7 linked regions of the Callithrix jacchus genome follow. The protein of the gene in region 1 interacts with the protein of each later gene in a biochemical or structural test. Links are inferred from orthologs where the notes say so. Each region holds a gene or a part of one and is shown in the gene's direction. Other genes may lie near its edges.

The links.
Region 2: of the proteins of SMURF1 (region 1) and SMAD5, one has a biochemical effect on the other in vitro, tested with the Homo sapiens proteins (3 studies listed by BioGRID, with this or other methods). The link is inferred for Callithrix jacchus from reciprocal best matches to the Homo sapiens genes SMURF1 and SMAD5.
Region 3: the proteins of SMURF1 (region 1) and UBE2D1 form a complex in vitro, tested with the Homo sapiens proteins (3 studies listed by BioGRID, with this or other methods). The link is inferred for Callithrix jacchus from reciprocal best matches to the Homo sapiens genes SMURF1 and UBE2D1.
Region 4: the proteins of SMURF1 (region 1) and UBE2M form a complex in vitro, tested with the Homo sapiens proteins (2 studies listed by BioGRID). The link is inferred for Callithrix jacchus from reciprocal best matches to the Homo sapiens genes SMURF1 and UBE2M.
Region 5: the proteins of SMURF1 (region 1) and UBE2D3 form a complex in vitro, tested with the Homo sapiens proteins (15 studies listed by BioGRID, with this or other methods). The link is inferred for Callithrix jacchus from reciprocal best matches to the Homo sapiens genes SMURF1 and UBE2D3.
Region 6: the proteins of SMURF1 (region 1) and RHOA form a complex in vitro, tested with the Homo sapiens proteins (2 studies listed by BioGRID and IntAct, with this or other methods). The link is inferred for Callithrix jacchus from reciprocal best matches to the Homo sapiens genes SMURF1 and RHOA.
Region 7: the proteins of SMURF1 (region 1) and RHOB form a complex in vitro, tested with the Homo sapiens proteins (2 studies listed by BioGRID and IntAct, with this or other methods). The link is inferred for Callithrix jacchus from reciprocal best matches to the Homo sapiens genes SMURF1 and RHOB.

What each region holds. Positions count from the first base shown.
Region 1 is NC_133503.1:14,562,010-14,565,509, forward strand, and holds part of SMURF1 (E3 ubiquitin-protein ligase SMURF1), read left to right. Parts: intron 1-961; coding exon 962-1,140; intron 1,141-1,648; exon of another isoform or gene 1,649-2,558; coding exon 2,559-2,696; intron 2,697-3,500. UniProt on the Homo sapiens protein: E3 ubiquitin-protein ligase that acts as a negative regulator of BMP signaling pathway. Mediates ubiquitination and degradation of SMAD1 and SMAD5, 2 receptor-regulated SMADs specific for the BMP pathway.
Region 2 is NC_133503.1:34,536,839-34,540,772, forward strand, and holds the start of SMAD5 (mothers against decapentaplegic homolog 5), read left to right. Parts: upstream 1-1,134; 5' UTR 1,135-1,378; intron 1,379-3,934. UniProt on the Homo sapiens protein: Transcriptional regulator that plays a role in various cellular processes including embryonic development, cell differentiation, angiogenesis and tissue homeostasis.
Region 3 is NC_133513.1:72,170,918-72,175,078, reverse strand, and holds the start of UBE2D1 (ubiquitin-conjugating enzyme E2 D1), read left to right. Parts: upstream 1-1,361; coding exon 1,362-1,385; coding exon of another isoform or gene 1,386-1,667; intron 1,668-4,161. Other genes in the region: uncharacterized protein LOC144578806, read right to left, coding at 1,011-1,667.
Region 4 is NC_133523.1:51,191,836-51,196,057, reverse strand, and holds the start of UBE2M (NEDD8-conjugating enzyme Ubc12), read left to right. Parts: upstream 1-1,422; 5' UTR 1,423-1,625; coding exon 1,626-1,734; intron 1,735-2,817; coding exon 2,818-2,912; intron 2,913-3,040; coding exon 3,041-3,079; intron 3,080-3,180; coding exon 3,181-3,284; intron 3,285-3,591; coding exon 3,592-3,655; intron 3,656-3,737; coding exon 3,738-3,878; 3' UTR 3,879-4,222.
Region 5 is NC_133504.1:94,518,637-94,522,868, forward strand, and holds the start of UBE2D3 (ubiquitin-conjugating enzyme E2 D3), read left to right. Parts: upstream 1-1,432; 5' UTR 1,433-1,553; exon of another isoform or gene 1,554-1,848; coding exon of another isoform or gene 1,849-2,406; exon of another isoform or gene 2,407-2,571; intron 2,572-2,786; 5' UTR 2,787-2,981; coding exon 2,982-3,005; intron 3,006-4,232. Other genes in the region: uncharacterized protein LOC108590841, read right to left, coding at 1,849-2,406. UniProt on the Homo sapiens protein: Accepts ubiquitin from the E1 complex and catalyzes its covalent attachment to other proteins. In vitro catalyzes 'Lys-11'-, as well as 'Lys-48'-linked polyubiquitination.
Region 6 is NC_133516.1:31,971,357-31,974,856, reverse strand, and holds part of RHOA (transforming protein RhoA), read left to right. Parts: intron 1-1,828; coding exon 1,829-1,949; intron 1,950-3,500. UniProt on the Homo sapiens protein: Small GTPase which cycles between an active GTP-bound and an inactive GDP-bound state.
Region 7 is NC_133515.1:94,759,031-94,763,017, reverse strand, and holds RHOB (rho-related GTP-binding protein RhoB), read left to right. Parts: upstream 1-1,187; 5' UTR 1,188-1,566; coding exon 1,567-2,157; 3' UTR 2,158-3,539; downstream 3,540-3,987. UniProt on the Homo sapiens protein: Mediates apoptosis in neoplastically transformed cells after DNA damage. Not essential for development but affects cell adhesion and growth factor signaling in transformed cells. Plays a negative role in tumorigenesis as deletion causes tumor formation.

The sequences.
Region 1 (3,500 bases):
GCATTCAAATGTGGAAGAACCTTTTACCAACATGGAAGCAGAGTTTTCACTCATTTTCTGAGATGAACATAATTCAAACCTGAAAGCAGAGGCGTATGGTTCCTGAGTTAAAAACCAGACGGCTCTGGTTCTAGAATGGTTTTTTTTTTTGAGACGTAGTCTTGCTCTGTTAATCAGGCTGGAGTGCAGTGATGTGATCTCAGTTCACTGCAACCTCCGCCTTCCAGGTTCAAGCAATTCTCCCGCCTCAACCTCCCGAGTAGCTTGGATTACAGGCTTGTGCCACTGTACCCAGCTAGTTTTTGTATTTTTAGTGGAGATGGGGCTTTACCATGTTGGCCAGGCTGGTTTCAACCTCCTGATGTCAGGTGATCTGCCTGCCTCAGCCTCCCAAAGTGCTGGGATTACAGGCACGGGCAACCACGCCCAGCCTAGAATTGTTTATTTTACTTGGCTTATTCATACATATTTTCCTGTGGTCTTTTTGTTCCCCCTTCTTAGAATTTCTTCCCTCCCTCATTCCTTTCATTCTGGATCAAGGGAGGGGTGGTGGAAGAAGGGGGCTTGCCCTTGTCTTTCTTGTGCAGTGGGAGGGAATGCAGGGCTGGCTTCCTGGGCGTGCGTCCTGCAGGATGCCGCGGCCCTGCAGTGTCAAGGCCCCATGCTTGGTTTGATTCTGTTGTCACAAGGTGAAATGCTCAGTCGTTGCTGAACATGGGCTCTGCATTTTCATTTTGCACTGGACTGGGCTCCTCTGCAAGTTATATAGTCTGAGGAGGTATTGGCCCTGAAATTGTCCAGTGACTCTATGCAAATTCAGCTACACAAGCAGCCTTCTTTCACTTGCTCATGAGCCCGGCCTGTGAGTTCCTGAGTTGCCTCTGGGACACTCTTCCCAAGAAGACTCCCACATTGACCAGCGTTGTGCTGATGAATTTGTGTTTTCTGGTGCCCCCTACAGGACCACTTGTCTTACTTCCACTTTGTGGGGCGGATCATGGGGCTGGCCGTGTTTCATGGGCACTACATCAATGGGGGCTTCACAGTGCCCTTCTATAAGCAGCTCCTGGGAAAGCCCATCCAGCTCTCGGATCTGGAATCCGTGGACCCGGAGCTGCATAAGAGCCTGGTGTGGATCCTGTAAGTATTGACTGATGGTGCACGGTTACCTGGCGTGGGACATGCCACCACCTCTGTTGTCTGCATGCATGCGTGTGCGTTTGTGTATTTTGGGGATGGGTGTGAAATTGAAGAAGAGACACAAAGAAGCCATTGTATTAAATAACCTGAAACAAAAAAGAAGGTTCTTTGGGAGGCCAGAGTGGGCAGATTGCTTGAGCCCAGGAGTTTGAGACTGGGCCTGGGCAACGTCCTGAGACCCTACTACTACAATAAATACAAAAAAAAAACCACCCCACCAGATCTAGCCAAAGAAAAAAAACAAAAAACTCAGTTGCCTTATTTTCCTTGTGATGTTGGGCCGGCTTCTCTTCAGGGACTAGATTCTTTCATTTCCTTGAATTATGAAGGTAAGATCACGAACTTTAACAGACTACTCCCCAGGCTCGGGGTGTGTGTGACACTCACGGGAGTCTCCAGTTAACCTCACAGGAGCCAAGCCCATATCAAAACAAATTGAACATTTAGGTACCTCTGCTTTAGAATTATTCTAGACATTCTGTTAAGGGCAGCAGGCAATGACAAGATGAACTGTGTCACAGGTCTTGTGGATTTCGTGGGGATGAAAGATCAGGCTCTGCTCTGGCAGACAGAAGGAATGTGGATGAGTGGGAGTGGGGGCCTCCTAGTTGTATGTCCCATGTTCCAACGTGAAGAGGGGACCCCAGGGACCGGGTAGAAAATCTTCCACTCAGTATGTTGGCTCATTGCCTGTTATTAAGCACTTCACTTGAGATCAGGAGTTCGAGACCAGCCTGGCCAACATGGTGAAACCCCGTGTCTACTAAAAACACACAAACAAAGCCAGGTGTGACATGTGCCTGTAGTCCCAGCTCCTAAAAGGCTGAGGCAGGAGAACTTCTTGAACCCAGGAAGCAGGGGTTGCAGTGAGTTGAGATTGCACCACTGCACTCCAGCCTGGATGACAAAGTGAGTCTCTGTCTCAAAAAAAAACCAACAACAACAAAACTTCCAATCTGCCTATGGCAGATTCAGGAGCTAATTTTCACTTTTAAGTGCTTTTGCATTTGAACTGATGTGTTTGGAAAGGCTGGCTCTAAGGCGGGACTCGTATTTTCTTGGTGTGGCTTCATCTCCAGGTCAATTTCCTGCCTTCAGTGCTGCCCGCCTTCTGTGAGTGAGGAAGCCAGGAGTCGGGGACATCTGGAACCAGAACTGTGGTCTCCGGGTCCTCCAGCACCATTTGCGGTGCCGCCCCCATATGGGTTTCGTGTCCGCCTGCGGCTGTCCTCTCTTGCAGCCTGGGTCTGGGAGTCCTAAACGCCATCTCTCTGTCTACCCGATGGCCCTACTTGATGTTCCTTTCATTGGCACATGGTGGCTGAACTCTAACTGACGTCACCTTCTGTCTTCAACAGAGAGAATGACATCACACCGGTGCTGGACCACACCTTCTGCGTGGAACACAATGCCTTCGGGCGGATTCTTCAGCATGAACTGAAACCTAATGGCAGAAACGTGCCTGTCACAGAGGAGAACAAGAAAGAATATGTCAGGTAAGTCATCTGGGGGGCACAGCCAGTACCTGGGGCACGGATGAGTTTGCATTTAGTTGCTGTGGCTCATTCGCCGTGTGAGGCCTGCGTGTCCCTGATGGCTGGCACTTGTGATCAAATCATAGGAACAGAAGTGACTTTCAGAAACTGACAGCTCAGCAGCCACGTCAGGGATCTGCTTGGAGGGGTCCTGATGGGGCCAGGCCTGCCTGAGGGACAGAGCCCACGTGGGGAAGGACTTTCAAGTGACCACCTAATTCTGGGTGCAAAGTAGGGGGGCCAAGGAGAGAGCAGCTGCTTGGAGGGTCTTGTGGTCAGTCCGAGGAAGCCACCCTGTCAGTCTTTTCCACCTCTGAGTTGAGGCAAATCCATGTTCAGGCCTAGGCACTGGCGCTGAGAAGTGCGTGGGCGTGGCTGTGTGCCCAGTCGTCCTGAGCTGTCCTTTCAAATGCACTTATAAACATTATTAAATGTTTAACATTTGATACAGGGTCTTGCTGTGCTGCCAGGCTGGTCTCGGACCCCTGGCCTAAAGCGATCCTCTTGCTTTGGCCTCCCAAGGTGTGAGCCACCATGCCTGGCCAGAACGTGCTTTCAAATTACAGCAATTGATGTGACAAGTCAGGTGCAATCCTGCTGTTTTCAGTAGCGAACCAGAATGAATCAGGGCACGTGCTGAGTCATTTTTAACGTGATGCCAAGGTTTTGGCACTACTAGCTGGTGGGGATTTTGTGTCTTGGTGGGGAGATCTAGAGGGGGCCCCCAATATGTTCCCATGTTTGTCAGACTGTGATATCAGAACC
Region 2 (3,934 bases), about 20 Mb from region 1:
TAGGATATATTTTGAAGAAAGAGTTAATAGAATTTCCCAATAGATTGAATTAGGATATGAAAGAGCATTTTCCAAAATGACTCCGATTTTGATTTTTACTTATTTTTAAAAGAAAACCTATAATAAAACATTGGAAAGCCAGCATTGACCTTCTAAAATAAAAACAAAATTATTCAAGAGCTTTTTCTTACTAGTATCCTCCAAATCGGGTACCCTATGTGGTACCAATAGACTCTTGGAAATGCTAACAGTTTTGGAAATTTGGAGGAAAAAGCATTGCGAAGAGTTTCAATTACTAAGAAAAGAGTCCAGGAGATGGGGTGGTGTATATTAGCCTATACTCTTGGAAATGCTGACAGTTTTGGAAATTTGGAGGGAAAAGCATTGAGAAAAGCTCCAATTACTAAGAAAAGAGTTCAGGAGATGGGGTGGTATATATCAGTATCTCTGGACCTCAGTGACCCCACTGCCTGCAGGGCTTGGGTCCTCAGGGTATCTCCCTCCCCACAAGGAGGTGGAGAGGGTATGTTGTCTTGAAATACTGGGGTTGTAACCCGGTGTATGGACAGTCCCATTCCAGGATCGGGCACTCGGCTCCATTTCCATAGGCCCTCAAGGGTTCCAGGATTGCCCCGTGGGAGGAGTTTCAGTGCTGCATCTAGTGAGAAACTGTAGGATGCTCAGAAACATGTTTTGAAGCTACTGTGCACAGAAAGAAGACTCTTCATTCAGGTTTGTATTACAAATCAATACAAGTAGCTAAGTCGTATCTGAAGATCTTTGTTTACACTTTGTATATGACAGAAAATCTCCAGTTGTCTGTATCCAGGACAATTACTTACTTTTATTACAATGTATGCTGATTTGGTTAGTGGAAGCTACTAGCGGCTACTGTTGGGGTGGGAGCTATCTAATTCCCACTCCCAGGCTTGGCCATCGACGCAAACGCCTCCGGCGGCCGATCGGAAGTTGGCGTTGTCCGGCGTTGAGCCAGGCCCGAAGGCTTCCTTCAGCTGCCCGGGCAAGACCCCCCTCCCTCGGTCCCGCAGCGGTCACTCAGCCCCAGGCGCGCATGCGCTGACCCCAGCGGGCGTTCTCCCAGGCTCCCTCCCTCCCTCCCTCCCTCCCTCATCCGGGTCCTGGGCGAGCGGGCGCCGTGCGCGTGTCCCGCAGTCGAGCTGCTAATAAAGTTGCAGCGAGAAGCGCCGCGACCGCGTCGGGAGAGCGCGCCCAGCCGGCCGGTGAGTGAGTGAGGGTCCCCGGCGCGCGCGGGCGAGCTGGACCAGAGGCTGCAGGCCCTGCCCGTGCGGATTCGGGCCGAGGCGGGGGCGTTCGGCCGCGGCGGAGCGGAAACTACCAGGGGCCTGCCGGGCCGGAGGTAGGCCGAGTCTTGGCCTGCTGGGGTCCCGGCTGGCAGACACTGTGCGGCCCAGCGGCTGCGGAGGCCTCTCCTGCGGCCCGGGGCGTCCTGAGGCGGGGCCGGGGCCGGCCCTCATCCCAGCCCCGCTGTTACCACCCGGACTTAGGAGGGAGGCATCCGGGACGTCCTGGAGGGGATCCCCTGACCCCTCGTCTGTTCTAGAGAGCGGTTTGCTTTCCTACGTCAAACTGATGTACCACCCTCGATACACATCCCTGATAGGACTGCAGTGCTCGGGGGAGCAGCCTGGGCTTCTGCACTGCAAAGCTGTCCAGTGGCTGGATGAATCCGTGCCGCGGTCGGTTTGTGTTTCAAAGATAAGGATCCGCGCTTATCGGTTTTAATTACACTCGGGGCAGTTGTGACCGGCTACTGCAATCAGCTGGTAGTTAGACCTGGTTTCCGCCACTTGCCATGTCAGTTTTCACCACGGCAAGGATTTCTTCTACTTGTAAACTTCTCTATGCTGCAAACAGAATGCCAAAGCAGCGTCTTTTTGCCTTCACCATATTCAGCCGCTGGCCAGGCCCTATACTTCAACATCAGGGCCCAAATTAATATTCCAGTCTCTTCCCTTTCTCCTCCCCTTTTACCCTCTACTTCTCAGCTGCTGTTATTACGTGGAGTTTGGAGCCTAAGCTTTGAAAACTCCCATGTGGCGCGCCCGTCTTAAGTCTGAGCATGCTCAGTAGCCAAAATAGATTTTTGGTTGCAGAAAACTCGGGCGAGGATAGTCGGGGTGTTTGGACATTTGACGGCTTCCTAACAGAACCTTTCGATTCTGGTGGTGATGGCATTGGAGAATGGAGCTTAGGCCAGTCTGTAGGTGAGGAGTGGCTGCACACCCTGAGCCAGATCGTTATCTTGATTGTAAAGACAATGTTTCCTGACCAGCTGGAGGTTTGGAGGGGGTGTGGTGTTGGGGGGTGGCGCAGGGCTGCTTGTGTGTTTAAATGGGTGTGGTGCTAAGTATATCTTGTTTACCTTATCTGTGGAAAAGTTTTGAAGTCTGGTTAGGTTTGTCACATCATGCCTGTTGCCTAGCGCTATGAAAAGTGTTCTTATCTAGCAGAAAAGATTGGATAGGTGGAGGTCGTGGCTTGGCCTCACAAAAGTTGAGAGGAAAGGGTATTTGGATTGCGTTTTTTAAAACTCTTATTTAAAACTAGAGTACTTGAATTTCCTTAGAGTACCTGAATTGCCCAGAGTGAATTAGTTTTTAATTTTAATTTGAAAGATGAAAGTTTGAAAATCTTAGTCCTAGTAGGTTTAGTAACTTTCCAAATAGCTTACAATTCCTGCTAGATGCCGACGCAGTAGTGTCCGTTGTGGGAAAACAGCACCTACACTCAGTGGGACAGTTTTACATTTATTGATCCAAATACCATTATGAAATTAGTGTTCCAGATTTCATAAGGGGCTATTTGTGGATGTGTGACAAACCATTTTAGTCTTTTATTCCTTTGGTAACTATTAATATTTTTCTCTCTACGGCGAAAATTGTAGAAATGCAAAACTTAGAAGAGACAATTAAACAAAACTTAACCCTCATAAAGGTTGTAGATACTATGTTTAGGTTTATAAAATTTAAATTTGATGATTGTATGATTGTTCCTGTACATCTTCCTTTGCTTCCCTCTCCACATTGCTGCTCCCTCAGTCTTTTTTACATTACTGCTTTTAATTTACCCATGTATCTTTGTTACAGATACCTTATTCTTCATTTTGTGCTTCCATTCCTTTCAGATCATAGCCGAAATAAGCAATAAAAGTTAGATGAACCCTCTCAACTGACTTTCCTCTCAGGTTTTAAAGGTATCCACATGATATGGTCTAATTAAAAGGAGGAAGAGAGGAGCAAACTGGAAAAAAATAAAATATTTTCATAGTTTCTGTACAGATCTGGTAGTATTATCTTTGTGTCTGGTTCACTGTGGAAGGCGCCACAGAAATGGGTAGATTGATATGTGTTGCATTTCTTTCCCCTCTGGCAAAGTCAGCTATTAATTTCAGTGGGAGACAGTGGCAGAAGGTTGTTACTAATGAGGTTTGAATCAGATTGTTGTTTATTGTTGGTTATGTAACATGCTGCTGGGAGTATTATTAAAAGTTGCATTCTGTAGTAAAGTAAAGGCAAGTAAATTCTGCTTACCCTCTTCACTGGGTTTTAATTCTTGGCTGAACCTGAAGGCACATTAGACTGCAACCATAATTATACCTGGGCAGCCTGTCTCTTTCCTGTTTTCATCATGAACCCAAACATTATGATTTGCAGTGATGATCTTTTTTGTCCTTTGCATTAAACGGAGGCACTGTGTTTTCTCTTTCTACTGAAAACAGATTTGTACCATGGTCAAATTAAAGAGTTTAGTGTTTTGAAAACTAGGCAGTAAAATACCAGTTTTTCATTTATTAATACAGTAACAAATTGAAATACCATCTAAAAAATCTATTTAATATATATTCAATTTTAATATTACTGGTATTTTGTGGAGTTAAGAAAACTTTTTGTTT
Region 3 (4,161 bases), on another chromosome or scaffold:
TAGGGAGTGAGTTGAATTTGGTAATTAGAAGCTCAAGCTTCCAATTGGTGACCTTGGTGAAAACTGATTCTGCGGTGCTCAAAGAAGAAGCCAAGTTTTTGGGTTTTGTTTTGTTTTGAGACGGAGTCTCCCTCTGTCGCCCAGGCTGGAGTGCAGTGGTGTGATTTCCGCTCACTGTAACCTCTGCCTCCCGGGATCAAGTGATTCTCCTGCCTCAGCCTCCCGAGTAGCTGGGACCACAGATGTGCTCCACTACGTCCAGCTAATTTTTGTGTTTTTAGTAGCGATGGGGTTTCATCTTGTTGGCTAGGCCTGTCTTGAACCCATCCTCAGGCAATCTGCCTGCCTCAGCCTCCCAAAGTGTTGGGATTACAGGCTTGAGCCACCGCGCCCGGCAAGAAGCCATGTTTTAGTGGGTACACACGTGCACAGGAATTGGAGAGTGGGGAGTGTGAGTTGACTGTTGAGTAGGGCCTGTGTGTGTGTATGAGTAGGGAAGGAGCCAGTGCGGGGAGTGAGAGCTCAGAACTAGGTATTCGAAGCGGGTATTTATGAAGAGGGGTATACCTACGAGCAGACAATGCACTCAGACAAGAAAGATTTGTGCATTGGACAGAAGAGAGCTACCTGAAACTAATGCTTCTCACAGTGACAGCACTCCCCGCCCGCACACTCGCGCACACCTTTTTCCTCGGCAATAAGAACTAAGGAGGTAAGTAAGGGATCTGATAGATAATCAGTTTGTGCATATGTGCAAGGTGAGAAATTGCGACAATGCATATATTTGAGAAAAAGTGAAATCTTTAAAGGTAAAATAACAAAACCAGCTGTGGCTCCTATTGGATAAGGAATTACTAACTGATAATTTAGAAATGCCTTTAAGTGCGTTAGCAGCTCATTTGTTATCCCCATTTTCCAGATGCGCAGCCCCAGAGTCACGTGCTCTAAATGAGACTGCAAAGACCGATTCCAGCGTCCGGCGGCTCTCACCTGAAGCTGCCCAGCTGAGGTCAGCGGTGAGTAGGTGACCTGCCAGCGCCCGCGGGCCTGCGGCCGAGGACAGGGCTGGAACTACACTTCCCAGTGTGCCAGGCGGGGCGGGGCGCGGCGGGGAGGGCGCAGGCTCCTTCCCAGAAGCAAAAGCGGAAACAAAAGAGTCTCGCCGGCGTCCCCGCCCGCACACTCGCTCTCGGGCGCACACGGAGCAGGGACCGGCGCCCGGAGCGATCCTGGGAGCGGCGAGCCGGAGACCCACTGCGCGGAGCCAGCCGAGCCGCCAGAGCCCAACCCGGGACGACCCGCGCCCCCGAGCCCCGCAGCCGCCCCCCGCCGGCCGGTGTCCCCACCGCCATCCCGGACCCATGGCGCTGAAGCGGATTCAGAAAGTGAGTGCCGAGGCTGGGCCTGGGGCTGCGGGGCGGGCAGCGGCCCCCTGACCCGGCCGGTGGTCCCGAGGGACGTGCGGGGAAAGCACGGGATGGGAGGGTGGGCCGGAGCGCGGGCAGGGAGCCGGAGGCTCGGGCCGGGCCAGCGGGCACCGGACAGGTGAGGTGGGAGCTGGGGCAGGTCCCAGGCGGCCGGAGGAGCTTGGAGGCTGGGGGCCCGCTCTGCGCTCGCGCCGGAGCCGCTCCCGGAGCCCCGGGGTAGAGAGCCTCCTCCGCCTCCATACCGCCCCAAAATCTGTGCTTCACGGTCAGGGCTGGGTTTTGCCCTCCATGGGACTAGTTTTGACCCCTGTCATGCTGTGTTTTCTGCAGGCTGTTTCTTAAGCCTGTCCTTTTTTTTGTTCCTGCTTCTCCGGGCTCCCCGGGAGGGCACGGAAGGTGGGGTGGGCCTGCAGCCTTTCTCCGCGGAGCTGTCAGGGTTGGTTCTTTCTTTCCTTTGCGGTTGGCTCTTGCTCAGTTGCCCAAATGGGCTGGAAAGCTCATTTGCAGCCAAGAAGCCAGGAGAAGGCTCCTGCCCCTTCTATTTTGGTGCCTCTGCTGCTGCCACTTCAGGTCACATAGCTGTAGCGAAAACATAGTTGCTGATACACAACAAGATGACCTCCTGGCTGTGATTCACGGTGAGTCAAGCCAAACAGGTTTTTTTCCCCCTCATGATAAACTTAGATGTAAAGTTCGAGACACAACATAAACTGTCACAAATTAAATTGTTTTGATGCTTTGACACATGAGTATAGAATGAGGAAGAAATGTATATCTTCATCCAACGACTGTTTGGCCATCTCAACCCTGTGTATGGAACTGTCTTCTTTTCACAGTATTTATTGCAACCATTTCAGATGTGAACAGCTTTCGGAATTGAGATTCGGGCATTTCTTTCTGTTCATGTTTATTTCTTGGTGGTCCGTGTACTGACCCAGGTTTTAGGTTTTACAGTTATAGTTCACACTGGAAACGTTGAGAATGTGTTTGTTAAATAGGGAGTGTTTTTCAGCAAGTTAAGCAACAATGAGCAGTGTGTTTTATAGTTGTTTCAGAATACATTGATGCCCACAAAACATTTTTATCCACTTTTTTGACCAGGAGTCAATATAGCAATATATGTGTTAGAGCAGTGACATTGTATTCTGATTCACCACTGGTGGCATCTTTAGGTACAGAGGACAGCAACTTTTAGAGCCTGCTAGTTTTTTGTTTTCAATTTCTGAATCTGTGGTTCACTTATTTTTTTGTGCCATTTAAAGGTCATCTCATTGTAAAACAGTTAACAATCAGCATTTATTAAGTAATGCTGTTTTCTTGTTTGAAGGTAGTACAATTACACATTTTTTTCATATAAATATCCTAATTTTGAAGCCTCAGTCAGCATGTTTACCATACGTTGCATACTTATTAATGATGACATAATATTGGTTCACATTTGGATCAGATAATGCACATCTTCCAAGGAAGTTTTCAGTCTATTTTCTTCTTTCCTAGTTGTGAGAATTTTTCACGTGACTTTGCACACACAAGAGCTTTTTAAATTTTCTTTTTTTCTTTTTTTTAAAGCGATGGGGGTTGGGGAGTCTATGTTGCCTATGCTGGTCTTGAACTCCTGGCCTCCAGAGAGTCTGGAATTACAGGCACAAGTCACCATGCCCAACTAACAATAGCTTTTAAATGCTGTGTAATTTGTCCACAGTAAGTAGATATTCAAAGAAATATGGACAGTGTTTGTAAATACCATGCTTGGCAGTTTTCATCAATCCCGGTGCTGAACTAGTGCATTTGACTTATAATATGGTATGTGTCCATATCTTTTCTTTTTAGCATTGACAGTTATTAGTTTATAGAGTTGTCCAGTAAAAAAAATTATCTACATAGAATTGATATCAAACGTGATGAATTGATATTTTGGAGAAGAAATTGGGGGTCATATACCATCACATCTCTATGTGTTCATCTTTCTGATACCAGGCAAGTTGACTTAGACAAATCTTTCCATTAATCACATATTCAGACCATTCCCTCAAACCTGAGGGGTGATTATTTTGATTGATTCCATACTTTTCCTCCTCCTTTACCTACCTCCTTGATTAGAAGCCAATTCCAGGTTGGATGTGCTACCTGCCATATGAACAGTTACATAATCTTTTTTGATGCCATCAGTATACAAATTCTTATTTGGATCTTGCATGTTCCAGCAAATGAAGATGTATACTAACTTTTGGCCTTTCTTCTTAAGCTCAATGAAATATTATTATAATTTTCCTCTACCTAAAGTGGCAGGCCGTAGAGCTGTGTGGAACCTCAGATAAGTTTGCAGTAGTGTAGTAGAGCATACCAGCAGGGGAACAACTTCTAGGGCAGTGTCTCAGATTCTTCTGTGGGATGTTTTCTCAGACTATCATCACTTCTGTAAATGGAGAGATGCTTAATCCCTCAGATGGGTTGGGGTGGAAAGAAGACTGAGAGCCACTGATGTTCTGTCTTGTCCTTCTTATTCAAGGAAGGATCCAGAGACGTGAAGTGGTGGAGTGTTTTGTCCAAGGATAATTTCTCTCTCTCTCTTTTTTTTAAGTCTCGCTCTGTCACCCAGGCTAGAGTGCAGTGGCGTGATCTCAGCTTACTGCAACCTCCACCACCCAGGTTCAAATAATCCTCCTGCCTCAGCCTCCCGAGTAGCTGGGACTACAGGCACATGCACCACACTCAGCTGATTTTGCATTTTAGT
Region 4 (4,222 bases), on another chromosome or scaffold:
GCAGCAGGGTCCAGCTTGAACCTTAAACCCCAGTCAAGGTCTCACTCTGGCTAGGTATCGGGCTAGCCTTGGCCCTGGACATTTCAAGGAACTAAGACTCAAGGCTTGTTGTCCAAGCTTCTTCCAGGGGTGCAGCCAGACTTTCCCCTGCTGCTTCTAGTCACCCCAACCCACAAGGCTGGAGGCGTGGCCTCAGGGAAAGCAGACAAGCCACCCTTGGCCAGAGACCACTCCTGGGCGAGGAGCTGCAGAATCAGAGGGGTGGCGCCTGGGCCCCTCCGCAGGCAAGTGCCACCACACCAAGCGCTCGCGAGCACGATGGTTTCCGTGGTGACGGCGGAAGTGGCTGACCCGCAGGGTTCTGTTTCCTCCCGCCCTCCCAGACACACTGAGCTGCGATTGGATGGGAAGCTGACTCCCGCCTATATCCCCTTTTTCAGATAGTGGGTTGAAAGCCGTGAGACCGCAGTGCGTCTCTGCTGGAATTGGGGGCCCACTCCCAGAGCTGCCCGGCTCCGCCCCCACATCGCGTTCCCCAAGTGTCCAGCCCGACAGGTCTTCCTCTACACCACCTTAACCCTCCAGAGTGCTTACCACCATCTGGCACAATACATGTTTTGTTAGTTTACCTCAATCAGAATCTCCAGGAACTGGGATCTTTGGGTTTGCGATGGGACAATGAAGGTGCTCGACCTCGCACCCTCTGGGTAACGCCTCTAGTCTCACTCAGAGTCTCGCCGCGATCACCCTGCCTTTGTCTGTGACCCATGGGGTCAAAGGCTCTGACCCACCCGCGCCGCGCTCTGCACAAGTACAACATAGGATGAAGTGACCGCGAGCGAAACACCCCACGTCTGCCCCACTCAAAGATGGCGGCTAACCACACTTCCTGCCCGACCCCGCTAGAGTCACCGGAAGTGACCCGCCGGGCAGCCGAAGCGTCAACTCCAAGAACGGAAATACCCGAATCCAGCCGAAGGAGGCCGAACCCCAAACTCCATCCCTGAGCAACGCGAGTTTGCCGCGGCTGCGCAGGCGCACAACGCAGGCCGGGCGGGAAGACCCAAAGCGGACAGGCGGCGGAAATATCCGAAGCGGCGGGGCGCCCGAGGCCGTTACCGACCTCCGCGCTAAAGCCGCTGCTGCCGCGGAAACCGATCCTTCAGTACTCAGCCCCCGTCACCGCGGCTGCCCCGTCCTCCTCCCACCCCGAGCCGCAGCTCCCTCGCGGACGGATCAGCTGAGCGGCCAAACGGCGCGGCCGGGGGAAACCAGAGTCCGCAGCTGCGGCGGGGCCTGAGACCAGAGCGGGCGAGGGCAAGGAAGGAGCAGCCGGGGGCGATAGGGGCGGGGCCGGGCGGCCCGAGAACACCCGAGTTTGGCCGAGCGCTGCCGTTCGAGCCCGAGACTCCAGGCCAGGCCAGAGCCGGACTACGGGAGCCGAGTCGGGCCGCGCGGTGGGCGCGGAGCAGAGCAGAGCGGCGCGGCAGGCCGGGCGGGTGGCGAGAGCCGCGGAGGCCGCAGCGGCGGGTCCGAGGAGCAGAGGCGACGCGGGCGGCGGCGGGAGGCCGGGTGGCCGGGGTCCCGGGCCCCGCGGCGGCGGCAGCGGCGGCGGCGGCGGCAGGATGATCAAGCTGTTCTCGCTGAAGCAGCAGAAGAAGGAGGAGGAGTCGGCAGGCGGCACCAAGGGCAGCAGCAAGAAGGCGTCGGCGGCGCAGCTGCGGATCCAGAAGGGTAGGGGGTCAGGGGATGGGGCTGGAGCCAGAGTCGGAGTTCAGGGCCTGAGGCTGGGTGATGTGGGCGTCAGGAGGGGATCATGCGATCGCCGAGGGTCAGAGGTGGAGGGCCCCTAGTGTAGCGGGTCGGAGGTCAGGTCTTGAGGGTTGGGGTCATGCAGTCACGGGGAGGGGGGTCAGAGATAGGGGCCCAGTGTGTGGTGGTTTAGGATATTAGGAAGGCCTGTGTCTGGTACGAGGGACCCGGAATCTCAGAGTCAGGCAGTGGAGTGGAGGAGCTGGGGACTCGAGAGTCTGGGGGTTAGACGGGAACTTGGGTTTGGGATGACAGGAGGAGAGAGGGATAGTAGAGGCCAGGGGCTGGGGATATGAATGGGAGAAGACTCCGTGTATCTCAAGAGTCAGACGGGTGGACTAGGTTGGAGGACCCGAAACTCATGGGCCTCAGAGTCACAGCAATTTGGGGTATGGGGTGACAGGTGGTGGAGAGAAGGTTAGTGACTACCAGGGATTGGAGACAGGGGTGAGAAGAAATTTAGCCTATTGTGCTGTGAACCTCGGAGTCAGAGGGAGTGGGCTAGGGTGATGAGGGTTTGGGGACTTGAGAGTGTGGGGGTCAGGTGGGAAGAAGGCCTTTTTCTCTCTCAGAGAAAAAGGACAGTGAGGACTGAAAATTGGTGAGGGTAGGCAGGACCCTTGACTTTGGGTGGACAGGTAGGAACATCTTGGATGGGGAGCCTGGGATTCAGGGTGGTCAGAGGATATTTGGAGCGGGAGCATTTGGGAGCTATGGATGCAGAAAATTGGGCGTTTACCCTGGGCCAGGAGTTGGGACACGCAGACTGAACATACCTGTTTGGGGTATGCCATATATCCACAAGAGCCAAACAGGAGAAGGGAGAGGGCTGGAGGTGTGGAGCACAGCCCAGGACAGAGGCTTGGGGGTCCAGGAGGAGGCCATAGGGGCTGTGCTGACAACACCTGCCCTAAGTGTCCTGCTGTCTCCCTCTTTGTCACTTTTTCCCCCTCCCTCTTTCTCCCTCCCCCTTTCTTTCCCCAACTCTCTGCTGCCCAAACCCAGACATAAACGAGCTGAACCTGCCCAAGACGTGTGATATCAGCTTCTCAGATCCAGACGACCTCCTCAACTTCAAGCTGGTCATCTGTCCTGATGAGGTGAGGGTGCATATGGCTGGATTCACAGAAGCAGATCAAGAGTGTCCCCACTGAGAGGACGGAGACATGTTCTGTCAGGCCCCACAGGATTGAACCCTAAAATCTTCTTCTCCCCCTTTCCCTCCCAGGGCTTCTACAAGAGTGGGAAGTTTGTGTTCAGTTTTAAGGTGAGTCCCAGGTGGGCAGGGATGGCTGCCTGGACTGAGGAGGCAGCAGCTGAGGCCCTTCCAGGCACCAATCCATCTCCCTTTTCTTTTCCTGGAACCAGGTGGGCCAGGGTTATCCGCATGATCCCCCCAAGGTGAAGTGTGAGACAATGGTCTATCATCCCAACATTGACCTCGAGGGCAACGTCTGCCTCAACATCCTCAGGTGAGGGCACTGGCCCTCTACTGCCTTCCCCAGCCCTGCCTGTCATACCCCCCTCATGGTCTTCTGGGCACTACATCAGTCTCTGTGCCTACCCACCCCTTTGTTGTCTGTGGTTTCTTCATTTCCCAGTCATCTTCCTCATGGCCTGACCTTGGTTTTCTCCCTGTCCTGGCCTGCTCCACACCCTCCCTCCCAGTCTCCCACATCCTCACTCTCCTATGCCCTGGATCTGACCTGTCCAATATCAGAGGGGCCTATGGCAATCTCCCACTCACCAAGCCCTGACCCTGATGCTCTCTGTCCACAGAGAGGACTGGAAGCCAGTCCTTACGGTAAACTCCATAATTTATGGCCTGCAGTATCTCTTCTTGGTGAGTAGGAATAGGTGGTTGGGTTTGGGGAGATCGGTCTTCTGTCTCTCTGGCCTGTTGACCCCACCTGTACTGGCCACAGGAGCCCAACCCCGAGGACCCACTGAACAAGGAGGCCGCAGAGGTCCTGCAGAACAACCGGCGGCTGTTTGAGCAGAACGTGCAGCGTTCCATGCGGGGTGGCTACATCGGCTCCACCTACTTCGAGCGCTGCCTGAAATAGGGTTGGCGCACACCCACCCCCGCCACGGCCACAAGCCGTGGCGTCCCCTGCAAATATTTATTGGGGGCCACCGGCAGGGGGTTGGGGGGCAGCCGGTGGGGGAATTCCCTGCCTTGGCCTTGCCTCCCCTTCCTGCTACCTGCCCCTAGTTTGTTTTTTTTTTTTAAACCACCATGTGATTAAGGTCGGTGTTGCCTCCCCCGACCCACTCAGCAATGGGAAATGAATTGGCTTGTCTAGCCCCCTGCTGGGTGTTTGTTCAGCCCCCACTCTGGGCTGTGGAGTGGGTGGGCAAGGGGCCTGGGTAGCTGGGCCCAGGCAACCCACCCCTCCACCTCTGGAGG
Region 5 (4,232 bases), on another chromosome or scaffold:
CGGCTCAAGCCTGTAATCTCAGCACTTTGGGAAGCCGAGGCAGGTGGATCACGAGGTCAACAGATCGAGACCATCCTGGTCAACATGGTGAAACCCCGTCTCTACTAAAAATACAAAAAATTAGCTGGGCATGGTGGTGCGCGCCTGTAATCCCAGCTACTCGGGAGGCTGAGGGAGGAGAATTGCCTGAACCCAGAAGGTCGAGGTCACGGTGAGCCGAGATCGCGCCATTGCACTCCAGCCTGGGTAACAAGAGCGAAACCCTGTCTCAAAAAAAAAAAAAGAAATGTAGGATCTCTGCCCTACCAAATAAAAGTCGCATTTTCAACAAAGCCCCGGGTGGTTCCTATGGATACTAGTTTGAGAAGCACTGCTTCACTAATTGCTCTAGTGACACTACATGGTCACTTGAACAGTATATATTAGACCACTTATATTCATCATTGTTGATCTGTTTTTATTAGGTAAAACTTCCTGCAAGTTTTCAAATTAAGAGTATTGTTAAAATAAGTTTATTTTTTCCATGTAATTGAAAATCTCCACTTCAGTAACTGGGGTCATTAAGGAATGTTAGAAAACCTTAAGCTGGTCAGTGCTTACCCACCCAACATTAAGGTCTTTCTTTTGCCTAAAGAATACACTACAGAGTGTAACTGCCCTCTCCATACTTTAAATCCTTGACTAAAACAGGCCAATCCTATTTATGTAAACCCCACTTCCCAACTTGGATCTTTGAGGAAGTACCGTATGGTTTTTCTGACTCTAAACTCTGCCTAATTTTTTAATTAGTCTCGCCACTTTCTGGCTCAGTAACTGAAACACAGCAACAGAAGTTAAAGGTATTGAGAAGTTCAGCTTGTTTCCACTTCTACACTTGGTGGATGGTTGCGATTGATTACGGAGACCCGTGACCACCACTCTGCCCCTAACCCTCTCTGTCCCAGCCCCATCGACTCAGTTGAGCTTGACTCGGGCTGCTCTAACTCTGGGAACTGGCCTGTTGGGCCTGCTCTTCTCAGTGTTGCTCCTTTAGGGTCAGACAGGCACTGGACTTCAGCACGTGGGACCGCTGATGAGCCGCCAACCTGAGTCTATTTAAAACTACTGTTCCCATCTTGAGGGGAGCCTTCTCCCACAGCATAACAAGCCCAGGAGGGCAGGCAAGTAAATACTGCTCACCTGCTCCACCGGAAATCTCAAAATCCCGGCTCAACATCGACTCAAGTTATCTGGTAATTAATCCATGACACCTCCCACCGCACACTCCTGATTGGGCGCGTGAGAGAGGACTGTGTCGGCGCGCGCTCTTACAAGTCCGGGGAATTCCATTTCCTCTTCCAACCACCGGCTTAAACATTCAGGGGCGGTGCTTTCCTGGCCGTGGCCCGCCCCAGTTCGAGCCGGTGCCTCACTGCGTCTCGCGAGAATTTATGGATTTTGGGGGCGGGACCCCGAGAGGAAGAGCGCCCAAAACTGCTCTTAAGTCATTGCAGAGCTACTGCTTCGGTTAGCCAGCCACGAAGTTCTCGCGAGAGTCGTCGCCTCAATACCAAGTGAGGAAACTGGGGGACGCTGTGGGGAGGGGCGTGGGGCTTGGTCGCGCAGCGGCTGCTTGCTTTACCTTCCTCCCATGGTCTCCTTCCGGTTCTCGATGCTTCTCTGAGCCTAAGGGTTTCCGCCACTCGTTTACCCTCCCCCCAGCCCATGATCCGCCTCCCTCCCCCGCCCTCCTAGTCCAATCTCCGATCTGTTCAATAAGAAGGTGCTGTTCCGAGAAGGACAAGGAAAAGGCATTGGCACGTATTCACTTGGCCCCGGACGTGGGAAGCAAGCCGTCTGGCTTCAGCCTTACATCGGTCCTGTGCTCGCGACGGCGGCGTTGGCGGACTGATCCGCGGCGGTGAAGAGGCAGGAGAAGGGGGAGGGGCGGAGCGTGGCAGCTGGCAGTAGTTCCGTCAGAGCGGACATCTTGTGGCTGTGTCGTGCGCGTGAGCCCCGTAGGGCCGGGGAGGCACCAGCTGCCGCGCGGGGAGGAGGCCGAGGCCGCAGCTTGAGGGAGGCCCCGGCCCCTCTGTACGCGTGGGTGTGGACGGCTAGGGAAGGGAAGGAGGCCGGCCTAGTGGCCGGCCGGGTAAGAGGGGCAGTGCGGGCCCTGGGCGGCTTGAATAGCCAGCCTATTGGGTGCGGTGGGGTAGGGTGGGAAGGCTGGAGAAGCCGGGGCCTCTCCTGCTGGAAGAGGAGGGGGGAATGGGCGCGTCCACGCGCCCAAGCCGGAGCCTCAGGGTTAGCACGGGCGCGTGGTGGAGGTAGCTGGGCGGGCGCGCGCGGGAGCGCGCTGGAAGGCGGAGTGTACGGTGGCGTCAGAGACGACACAGAATAGCTCGCTGCGAGGACAGCAACACACATCAAACCTCTCTTCCTTTATTTCCTTCCCCCTGCCCGGCCGCACCTTTGGGCAGAAACCGAAAGCAGTCCGGCGTCCATCCTGAGTCTCTTGCTTCCCCCTCCCCCTTGCCTTTCTTTGCCGTAGTGACGCCGGTATAGCGCCGACTAGGCCCCAGCTCCTCCTCTGCTGGGCTCCGGACCCTGCCCCGCACCCACCCCTTTCTCCTACGCCTCTTCCTCTCCCACCCGAGTCTCTTCCTTTCGAGAGGCCGGGAAGTTAAACTTGTAGCCACCCCCTCCGCTCTTCCCGTCACCCTCGCCCCCACTTCGGGCAGAAAGCACTGCATAGAGGCTTTTGGTGGCTTTGCTACCCCACCCACCCCGGGTCGCGTCTGTCTTAGGGAGCTGGATTCATCAGGGGCTCTCCGAGGCCTGTGCGAGTGTTGATCTGCTCCGTTTTTGCAAAAGGCGCCTGTGTCTGGCAGAGCCGGTGTGAGACGAGACAATCCTGCCCCGCCGCCGGGATAATCAAGAGTTTTGTCCGGACCTTTGAGCACACACCGAGAGAGTGAGGAGCCAGACGACAAGCACACAGTATGGCGCTGAAACGGATTAATAAGGTAACCCGCGGGAACTGAAGGAAATGGGGTCGTGGGAGAAAAGGAAGGCTCGGGCCCAGAGGAAAGCGTGGGGGTGGGAAAGAAGCATAATTCCGAAAATATCTCTTGGATCTCTTCTTCCATGGTGGGGGATGGAGAACGCGGATATACTTCTTGAAATGAAGTTTAAAGCTAGGGAACGGAGAACACTTGTGGCAAGTGAGGTGTTAGTGAGTGTGCTTCATTGGAATCGGTGCAAATTAGGGGTGGAGGAGAGTGACTTAAAGCGCCTTTATTTATTTATATTATTGTTACTATTTTTTTGGTGCTTCAGTTCTTTTGGGGTCCGAAGTAAGGAGAGCCGCTTCAGCAGATGTCATGCAGCTTCCTATTCTTGAGAGCTCCCAAACTTGACTTAATGAGATCAAGGTTCTGTAGACTTTTTAGGGGAAAGAAAGAAAACCCGGACGAAAAATCTGGCGAGTCGCGAACTTGACTGAGGGTCGGGTAGAAGTCTCTTGTCTATTGAAGGATAGTGAATAAGTCTAGTGGAGAAACTCTTCGCGGACTCTGGGTAGGGTACACCTAGTAAGTATTTGGGAGGAGATGGAATGACACAGTGTTGTCACTTCCTATATTTTGTAGTTGCAGCTTTTCACCCGAAGCTATTTTTCCGAGGCACACCGGGAACTGATGTAAAAGCCTTCTGGAAGCTCCCTTTTTCTTTTGGCCGGCGGGGGGTGGATAAGGGGTGCGATGGCCATAAGGGAAAGCTAGGTGTACCTATTTTTGCCTCATCCCATTTTAATAACACCCTTGGGGAAGATTGTTTCGTTACTTGAAATGTGGTTAGTATATTGTCGATTTAAGTTAGAAGAAAACTAGGATTTTTCAGAGCTCTGGGAGTGAGTGGAACCTCCACCTCCGGTGGTTTCGTCTCATTTTCTAGCTCTAACTTCTATCCCGCATTTTAAGATGGCGGCTGCTTTAACTGGTTCAGGCTCTTTCCGGCATCTCTTGTCGTAATAATGTGAAATAATATGTTTTGTTAAATGTTAACTTTTATATCGGGTTGTGCACTGCTGTGAGACCCTCTACTTAAAACTTACCTAAATTCAAACTCTGGCTGTGTTTTCCTTTTTTGTGACTTGTGTTTGTGTGGTGTGTTAGGTTGTTGCTCAATCGAGGAGGGTGGAGTATTTACAGCTAACTTGAAAAAAATGTCATGGAATAAATTCAGCCTTACTA
Region 6 (3,500 bases), on another chromosome or scaffold:
AGCAGTTTGGGAGGCCGAGGCAGGTGGATCACGAGGTCAAGAGATCGAGACCATCCTGTTCAACAAGGTGAAACCCCGTCTCTAGTAAAAATACAAAAAGTTAGCTGGGAATGGTGGCACGTGACTATAATCTCAGCTACTCAGGAGGCTGAGGCAGGAGAATTGCTTGAACCCAGGAGGCGGAGGTTGCCGTGAGCCAAGATCTCGCCATTGCACTCCAGCCTGGGTAACAAGAGCGAAACTCCATCAAAAAAAAAAAAAAAAAGAAAGCCCCTTGAGGTGGTGGCTCACACCTGTAATCCCAGCACTTTGGGAGGCCGAGATGGGTGGATCACAAAGCCAGGAGTTCAAGATCAGCCTGGCCAAGATGGTGAAACCCCATCTCTAATAAATAAAATAATCAATCAATCACATCTGCTACAAATACTGCAGACCTCACCTCTTCCCCTGGCTATCTTGCCCACATTAGTTTCAAGGCCTCTCACAATAGTTTCAAGGCCTCCCCTTATCACCTCCCTCCTCCACCACCCTGCAGTTAACAAGTGTGTGCACCTAATAACCTGTGGAAACCAGAACTTGGGGCCAGTGGTCCCCATGCTTGTGTTGGTCCCCTGAACCCATGCTGTAAAATTCTACTCTTCTGTCTTTGTCTTTATTTCCTTTTCTCAATCCTTTGTCACCGCCAAGACTAAGGGCACCCATGAATGGGGTCGGGGCTGGTACCCAACAAATTTACCCTTCTATTACAGGAGGTTGAGCATGTACCTGGATGTGAAAAGAGTGCTCTCTCACCTTATGTGTTGCATTATTTCAGCCATTCAGACATTCTTGAATAGTAAAGGCACAGCCAAAGGTCTCTCCTGTCATCTCAGGCCTTGCCTAACACCCAGCGTTGTGTCTTTTCTTTCCTACCAACTCAGAATGCAGATTTGTCTCCATGTTTCCACATTGCAGCAGAAAATTTACTTAGTGTGGTATCTCCCTTTCTTGTCTGTGTACCTGGTGGAATGTTATTTAAAATTTTATATCTTCTCTCCTGTCTGTCTGCTTTCTTACCTAGTACAGTGTTATTTATAATCAAATACTTATAAGCTATGTTATTTTTGACTTGACATTTTGAATTTTGCCACTTGGTTCAGTTCTAGTATCTGGTTGTTGGTTTTTGTTTTTTTTTTCCTAACGGAGACAAGGTCTCACTGCCTAGGCTGGAGTGCAGTGGTATGATCTCTGCTTACTACAAGCTCTGCCTCTCGGGCTCAAGGAATCCTCCCACCTCAGTTTTCCAAGTAGCTGGGACTGCAGGTGTGCACCACCATACTCCGAAATTTTGCTTTTGTTGCTCAGGCTGGAGTGCAATGGTCTTGGCTTGTCTCAACCTCTACCTCCCGGGTTCAAGTGATTTTCCTGGTTCAGCCTCCCGAGTAGCTGGGATTACAGGCATGCGCCATGATGCCTGGCTAGTTTTGTATTTTTTACCAGAGATGAGGTTTCTCCATGCTGGTCAGGCTGGTCTCAAACTCCTGGCCTCAGGTGATCCGTCTGCCTCGGCCTCCCAAAGTGCTGGAATTAAAGGTGTGCACTGCACCCAGCCCACACTCAGCTAATTATTAAGGATTGCTTTGTAGAGATAGGGTCTCAAATTTCCGATTTTGACAAATTTCAACCTAAAATAAATTAAATATACTTTAATTTGAGCTTGATGCTCTTAAAAGTAAATATTCTTGTGTTTTACTGTTTTAGACTGTCATTTGAATGTACTATGGTTAGTGTCACTTAAGTGTGTAGTAGCATTAACCTTGAGCTCTTGTGGTTGTTTTTCCCATTACAGGTAGAGTTGGCTTTGTGGGACACAGCTGGACAGGAAGATTATGATCGCCTGAGACCCCTCTCCTACCCAGACACCGATGTTATTCTGATGTGTTTTTCCATCGACAGTCCTGATAGTTTAGGTGAGTGGTCCTGCGCCCAGTGTTTGTCACTGCAAGATGTATCCACCTAGGCTGGGCGAGGCAGGTGGGTCACCTGAGGTCAGGAGTTGGAGACCTGCCTGGTCAGCATGGCGAAACCCTGTCTCTACAAATACAAAAATTAGCCGGGTGTGGTGACATGCACCTGTAATCCCAGCTACTTGGGAGGGTGAGGCAGGAGAATCCGGGAGGCAGAGGTTGCAGTGATTTGGAATCGAGTCATTGCACTCCAGTCTGGGAGACAAGAAAATCTCTGTCTCAAAAAAGAAAGAAAGAAAATGTATCTAACTTGTTGGGGGATAGTTGCATGTGCCTGTAATCCCAGCTACCCAGGAAGCTGAGGTAGGAGAATTGCTTGAGCTCAGGAGTTTGTGTTTAGCCTGGGACTAGTGACCCCTGGCTCTAAAAAATTAATTAGGTTCAGGTGCTGTAACTCTTGCTTCTAATCCCAGAACTCTGAGAGGCCAAGGTGGGAGGATCACTTGAAGCCAAGAGTTTCAGATCAGCCTCAGCAACCTAGCAAGACTCCTTCTCTATTAAAATTAAAGGTTTTGTTGGAAGGCCGAGGCGGGTGGATCATGAGGTCAAGAGATTGAGACCATCCTGGTCAACATGGTGAAACCCCGTCTCTACTAAAAGTACAAAAAATTAGCTGGGCATGGTGGTGCATGCCTGTAATCCCAGGTACTCAGGAGTCTGAGGCAGGAGAATTGCCTGAACCCAGGAGGCGGAGGTTGTGGTGAGCCGAGATCGTGCCATTGCACTCCAGCCTGGGTAACAAGAGTGAAACTCCGTCTCAAAAAACAAAAATAAAAAATAAAGATTTCGGCCGGGCACAGTGGCTCATGCCTGTAATCCTAGCACTTTGGGAGTCTGAGGCAGATGGATCACCTGAGCTCAGGAGTTCAAGACCAGCCTGGGCAACATGGCGAAACCCTGGCTCTACAAAAATGCAAAAATTAGCTGGGCCTGATGGTGTGTGCACCTGAACTTCAAGCTACTTGGGAGGCTGAGGCCGGAGAATCATTTGAGACTGGGAGTCGGAGGGTGCAGTGAGCTGAGATCATGCCATTGCACTCTTGCCTGGGTGACAGAAGTGAAATTCTGTCTCAAAAGATAAAGATTTTATTTGAAAATAATTAATTTGGTCAGATGCAGTGGCTCACACCTGTAATCCCAGCATTTTGAGAGGCCAAGGCAGTTGGATCACCTGAAGCCAGGGGTTCAAGACCATCCTGGCCAACATGGTGAAACCCCGTCTCTACTAAAAATATAAAGATTAGCTGGACATGGCGGCATGTTCCTATAATCGAGCTACTTGGGAGGCTGAGGCATGAGAATTGCTTGAACTGGGAGGCAGAGGTTGCAATGAGCTGAGATTGCGCCCCTACACTCCAGCCTGGGCTACAGGCCAGGTGTGGCTAAAGGCTCTGTGCGGATGCTCATGCCTGTAATCCCAGCACTTTGGGACGCTGAGGTAGGCAGATCATTTGAGATCAGGAGTTTTGCCTTCACACAGGTTAACTTGGAAGA
Region 7 (3,987 bases), on another chromosome or scaffold:
GACTCCCCATTCCCCCTGCCCTCTTCTTCCTCTTTTGTCCGTCGAAATCGGTTAACTTGGGTCTTTCCGGATCCGAGGTACTGTTAGCTCCTGCAAGATCTACAGGATAAATGAGTTTAGTCCTGGTGTACGTCAAGACGCTAGGGATCTGGCGCCCCACTAGAGGAGACACCCACTAATTCGCTGTACCCTACTTGCAAGCCCCTCCTCCCGCCCCTCTTCCCCAGCCTTAAGCCTTTTCGTCCCCTCAGGGGTCTTGGGATTGTTGGATTCTATCGTACCCAAAATACTGTACATTCTATTGTGCAATATTGTATATTCTATTGCACAATTTATCTCAGACAGTTCTCAGCTTTAAGGACCGGGATCAGAATTCATCGTGAAAAGGGGGCCGAGGGTGCTTCTCCACGCTGGGTAACTTCCTCCAAGTGTTCCAGCCTCGACCTTCCCTTTCCATTGTCAAGCTCTGCCACTCCACACTCCTTCCCTTAATCTTCACGTGGAGACCTAAGCTGGGGGGTTAGGAAGCGGAGAGCGGCGGGACTTGGAAGAGCCAGTTTGCAGCTAGCCTGTCGCCTCTCGGGTCCAAACCCGAGGCTGGCCCAGGGCGAGTACCTGGGTGGGGCCCTAGACCACAGGAGGGGAGGCCGCCAAAAGGAGAAAACCCTCTTCCTTGGAAACAAAATTGTATGTGTGGTGGGTGCGCGTGTGTCTGTTTATTTAAAAACAAAACCACGTTAAAAGGGCCGCCCCTCTTCCACAGGTCCGACCACCCGCAGCGAGTTTGCCAGGAAGAGGGGCAATTCTGAAGGGGAGTCGCCAACGCCCACTGAGTGCCGCCTCAGAGACGGAACCGTTCGCCCAGACCTCGTAGGCTCCAAGCAGCCAGTTCCCGGGCCCCGCGCGCAGACGCTGCGGCGAAGGAGGGGACTCGGGTGCCGCCAGAGCCCCGCAGAGCCAGCGGCAGCGCAGACTCCCGGTTCGCTGCCTCTCCCAGCCCCGCGGCCTGGGCCGTCAATCAAGCCCAGGCGGGCTGCCTCTCCCAGCCCCGCCTTTGGGCTGCAGAGGGTGGCCAATCAGAGCCAAGCTCCGCAGCGATGAGCTCAGCCGGCTCGTTTCCCATTGGACGGCTATATTAAGAAAGTGGCCGGACTCTTTAAATAGCGGGCGCTAGGGCCGCAGCCCTCATCTGCCGCAGCTATCTGACTGTGTCGTGTTTTCTCTTGTGTACACGACAAGGCCCGGAGAGACCCAGGAGGGAGCTAGGCCGAGTCCGCCGCCCAAGCCCGCGTAACGCACAAAGCTGCCGATTCCCGGCCCGGGGCGAGCAGAGCGACCACCGCCCGGAAGCAGCGCGGCGAGACGGAAGGTGCGCCCTATGCCCCCGCGCCCCTATCGCCTCCGCCGCGGCAGCCGGAGCTCAGCGAGAGAACGCGCCACCGCAGGGCCCGGGTGCAGCTAGCGACCCTTGACCCTGCGCGCAGCCAGAGGTGAGCAGTGAGCGGCGAGCGGGACGGCAGCGAGGCGTTCGCGGGCCCCCTCCTGCTGCCCGGGCCCGGCACGCTCATGGCGGCCATCCGCAAGAAGCTGGTGGTGGTGGGCGACGGCGCGTGTGGCAAGACGTGCCTGCTGATCGTGTTCAGTAAGGACGAGTTCCCCGAGGTGTACGTGCCCACCGTCTTCGAGAACTATGTGGCCGACATCGAGGTGGACGGCAAGCAGGTGGAGCTGGCGCTGTGGGACACGGCGGGCCAGGAGGACTACGACCGCCTGCGGCCGCTCTCCTACCCGGACACCGACGTCATCCTCATGTGCTTCTCGGTGGACAGCCCGGACTCGCTGGAGAACATCCCCGAGAAGTGGGTGCCCGAGGTGAAGCACTTTTGCCCCAACGTGCCCATTATCCTGGTGGCCAACAAGAAAGACCTGCGCAGCGACGAGCATGTCCGCACAGAGCTGGCCCGCATGAAGCAGGAACCCGTGCGCACGGATGACGGCCGCGCCATGGCCGTGCGCATCCAAGCCTACGACTACCTCGAGTGCTCGGCCAAGACCAAGGAAGGCGTGCGCGAGGTCTTCGAGACGGCCACGCGCGCCGCGCTGCAGAAGCGCTACGGTTCCCAGAACGGCTGCATCAACTGCTGCAAGGTGCTATGAGGGCCGCGCCCGTCGCGCCTAACACTGTCAGCGCGGCTCCCCCTCCTGGACCCGTCCCCCACGAGCCCGGAGAAGGGGAGACCCGTGTCCCACAAGGACCCTACTGGACTGCCTGGCATCTGTCTGCTGGCGGCTCTGGCTCGCGCCAGAATTCGGCGTGGGCGTCGGGCGCCCCCTTCCCAGTGTCTGTGTGCGTCCAGCTGTGTTGCACAGGCCTGGGCTCCCCGCTGAGTGCCAAGGGTCCCCTGAGCATGCTTTTCTGAAGAGCCAGGCCTCAGAGCGTGTGGCTGTGTGTCTGTTCGACTCTCCTCGCCCCATTTTCACCCCACCCCCGTCTCTGATCCCCGGGGGCGAGATTGGCGCGGGAGTGTGGCCGCGCCCCATCAGATGTTCGCCTTTCACCAGCGGGCGTCTGATATCCCTTGTCTGTAACATAGACCCGGGGTACTGCGGGAGGGGAGGGCTGGGGAGGATAGGGGAATGTTATATAAATATAGATATAATTTTATTTTCGGAGCTAAGATGGTGTTATTTAATGGTGGTGATGGGTGAGCGCTCCGGCCCAGGCTGGGCCAGACTCCTGTCCAGGCATGAACAGGACTTGGCCGTCTTTCTGACCCCTGGGGAAGACATTTGCAACAGACTTGGGGAGGACGCAGCTTTCAGTTCAGCCTCTCCTGCGAGCCAGCCCCCTGCGAACCGTTTGCCAGTCATCGGCGGGAGGAGGGAGGGTGCGCTGTGGGCTTGTTTTTGCCATAAGCGAACTTTGTGCCTGTCCTTCAAGTGAAAATTGTTCAGTCCAAGAAACTGATGTTTGATTTATTTAAAGGCTAAAATTTGTTTTTTGAAAATTCTTTGCACAATTGTTTCATTGTTTGACACTTAATGCACTTGTCATTTGCATACGACAGTAGCATTCTGACCACACTTGTACGCTGTAACCTCATCTACTTCTGATGTTTTTAAAAAATGACTTTTAACAAGGAGAGGGAAAAGAAACCCATTAAATTTCGCTTTGTTTCCTTGAAGAAAGTGGCAACACTGTTTTGTGATTTTATTTGTGCAGGTTATGCACACAATTTTGATAAAGGGCAGTAACAAGTATTGGGGCCTATTTTTTTTTTTCACAAGGCATTCTCTAAAGCTATGTGAAATTTTCTCTGCATCTCTGTACAGAGAATACCCCTGCCCCTATATTTCCTTTCTTCCCCTCCCCTCCCTCCCAGTGGTACTTCTACTAAATTGTTGTCTTGTTTTTTATTTTTTAAATAAACTGACAAATGACAAAATGGTGAGCTTATGATGTTTACATAAAAGTTCTATAAGCTGTGTATACAGTTTTTTATGTAAAATATTAAAAGACTATGATGACATTTATAAAATGGCTCTTGTGGTTTAATAGTATCCTTGTGAATCTGGGACGAGGGAGACATTCTCTGAGGCGAGATCCTTTCTTGCCAACTCCGTTTGCCTTATAGCAAATGTGGTAAATGAGGATGAAGTCCTGTTGGGAGCATGTAGGGGTTGGGGGTTGGGGTACCAAGGGAGAGACCAGTTTGTTCCTGTCAGCATTCCTAGAGGAAGATGAGTGGATACCCCGACATCCAGTGCAAAAACCTTTGACCTATTATGTACTCAATTGAATTAGGTGAGACTGCAGATCTTGATTTCATTCACCTGTGTGTGTGAAACACACCTGTGTCTAAGTCTATTCAGACTTTGTTTATTGAGTCTTGGAAAGGTGTCATTTGTGCATTTTAAATTTAGATGACTTTTTTATTAATCATTGGTGTGGGATCAGGCCCTCTCTCAGGAGCCTGTTTACTGGGT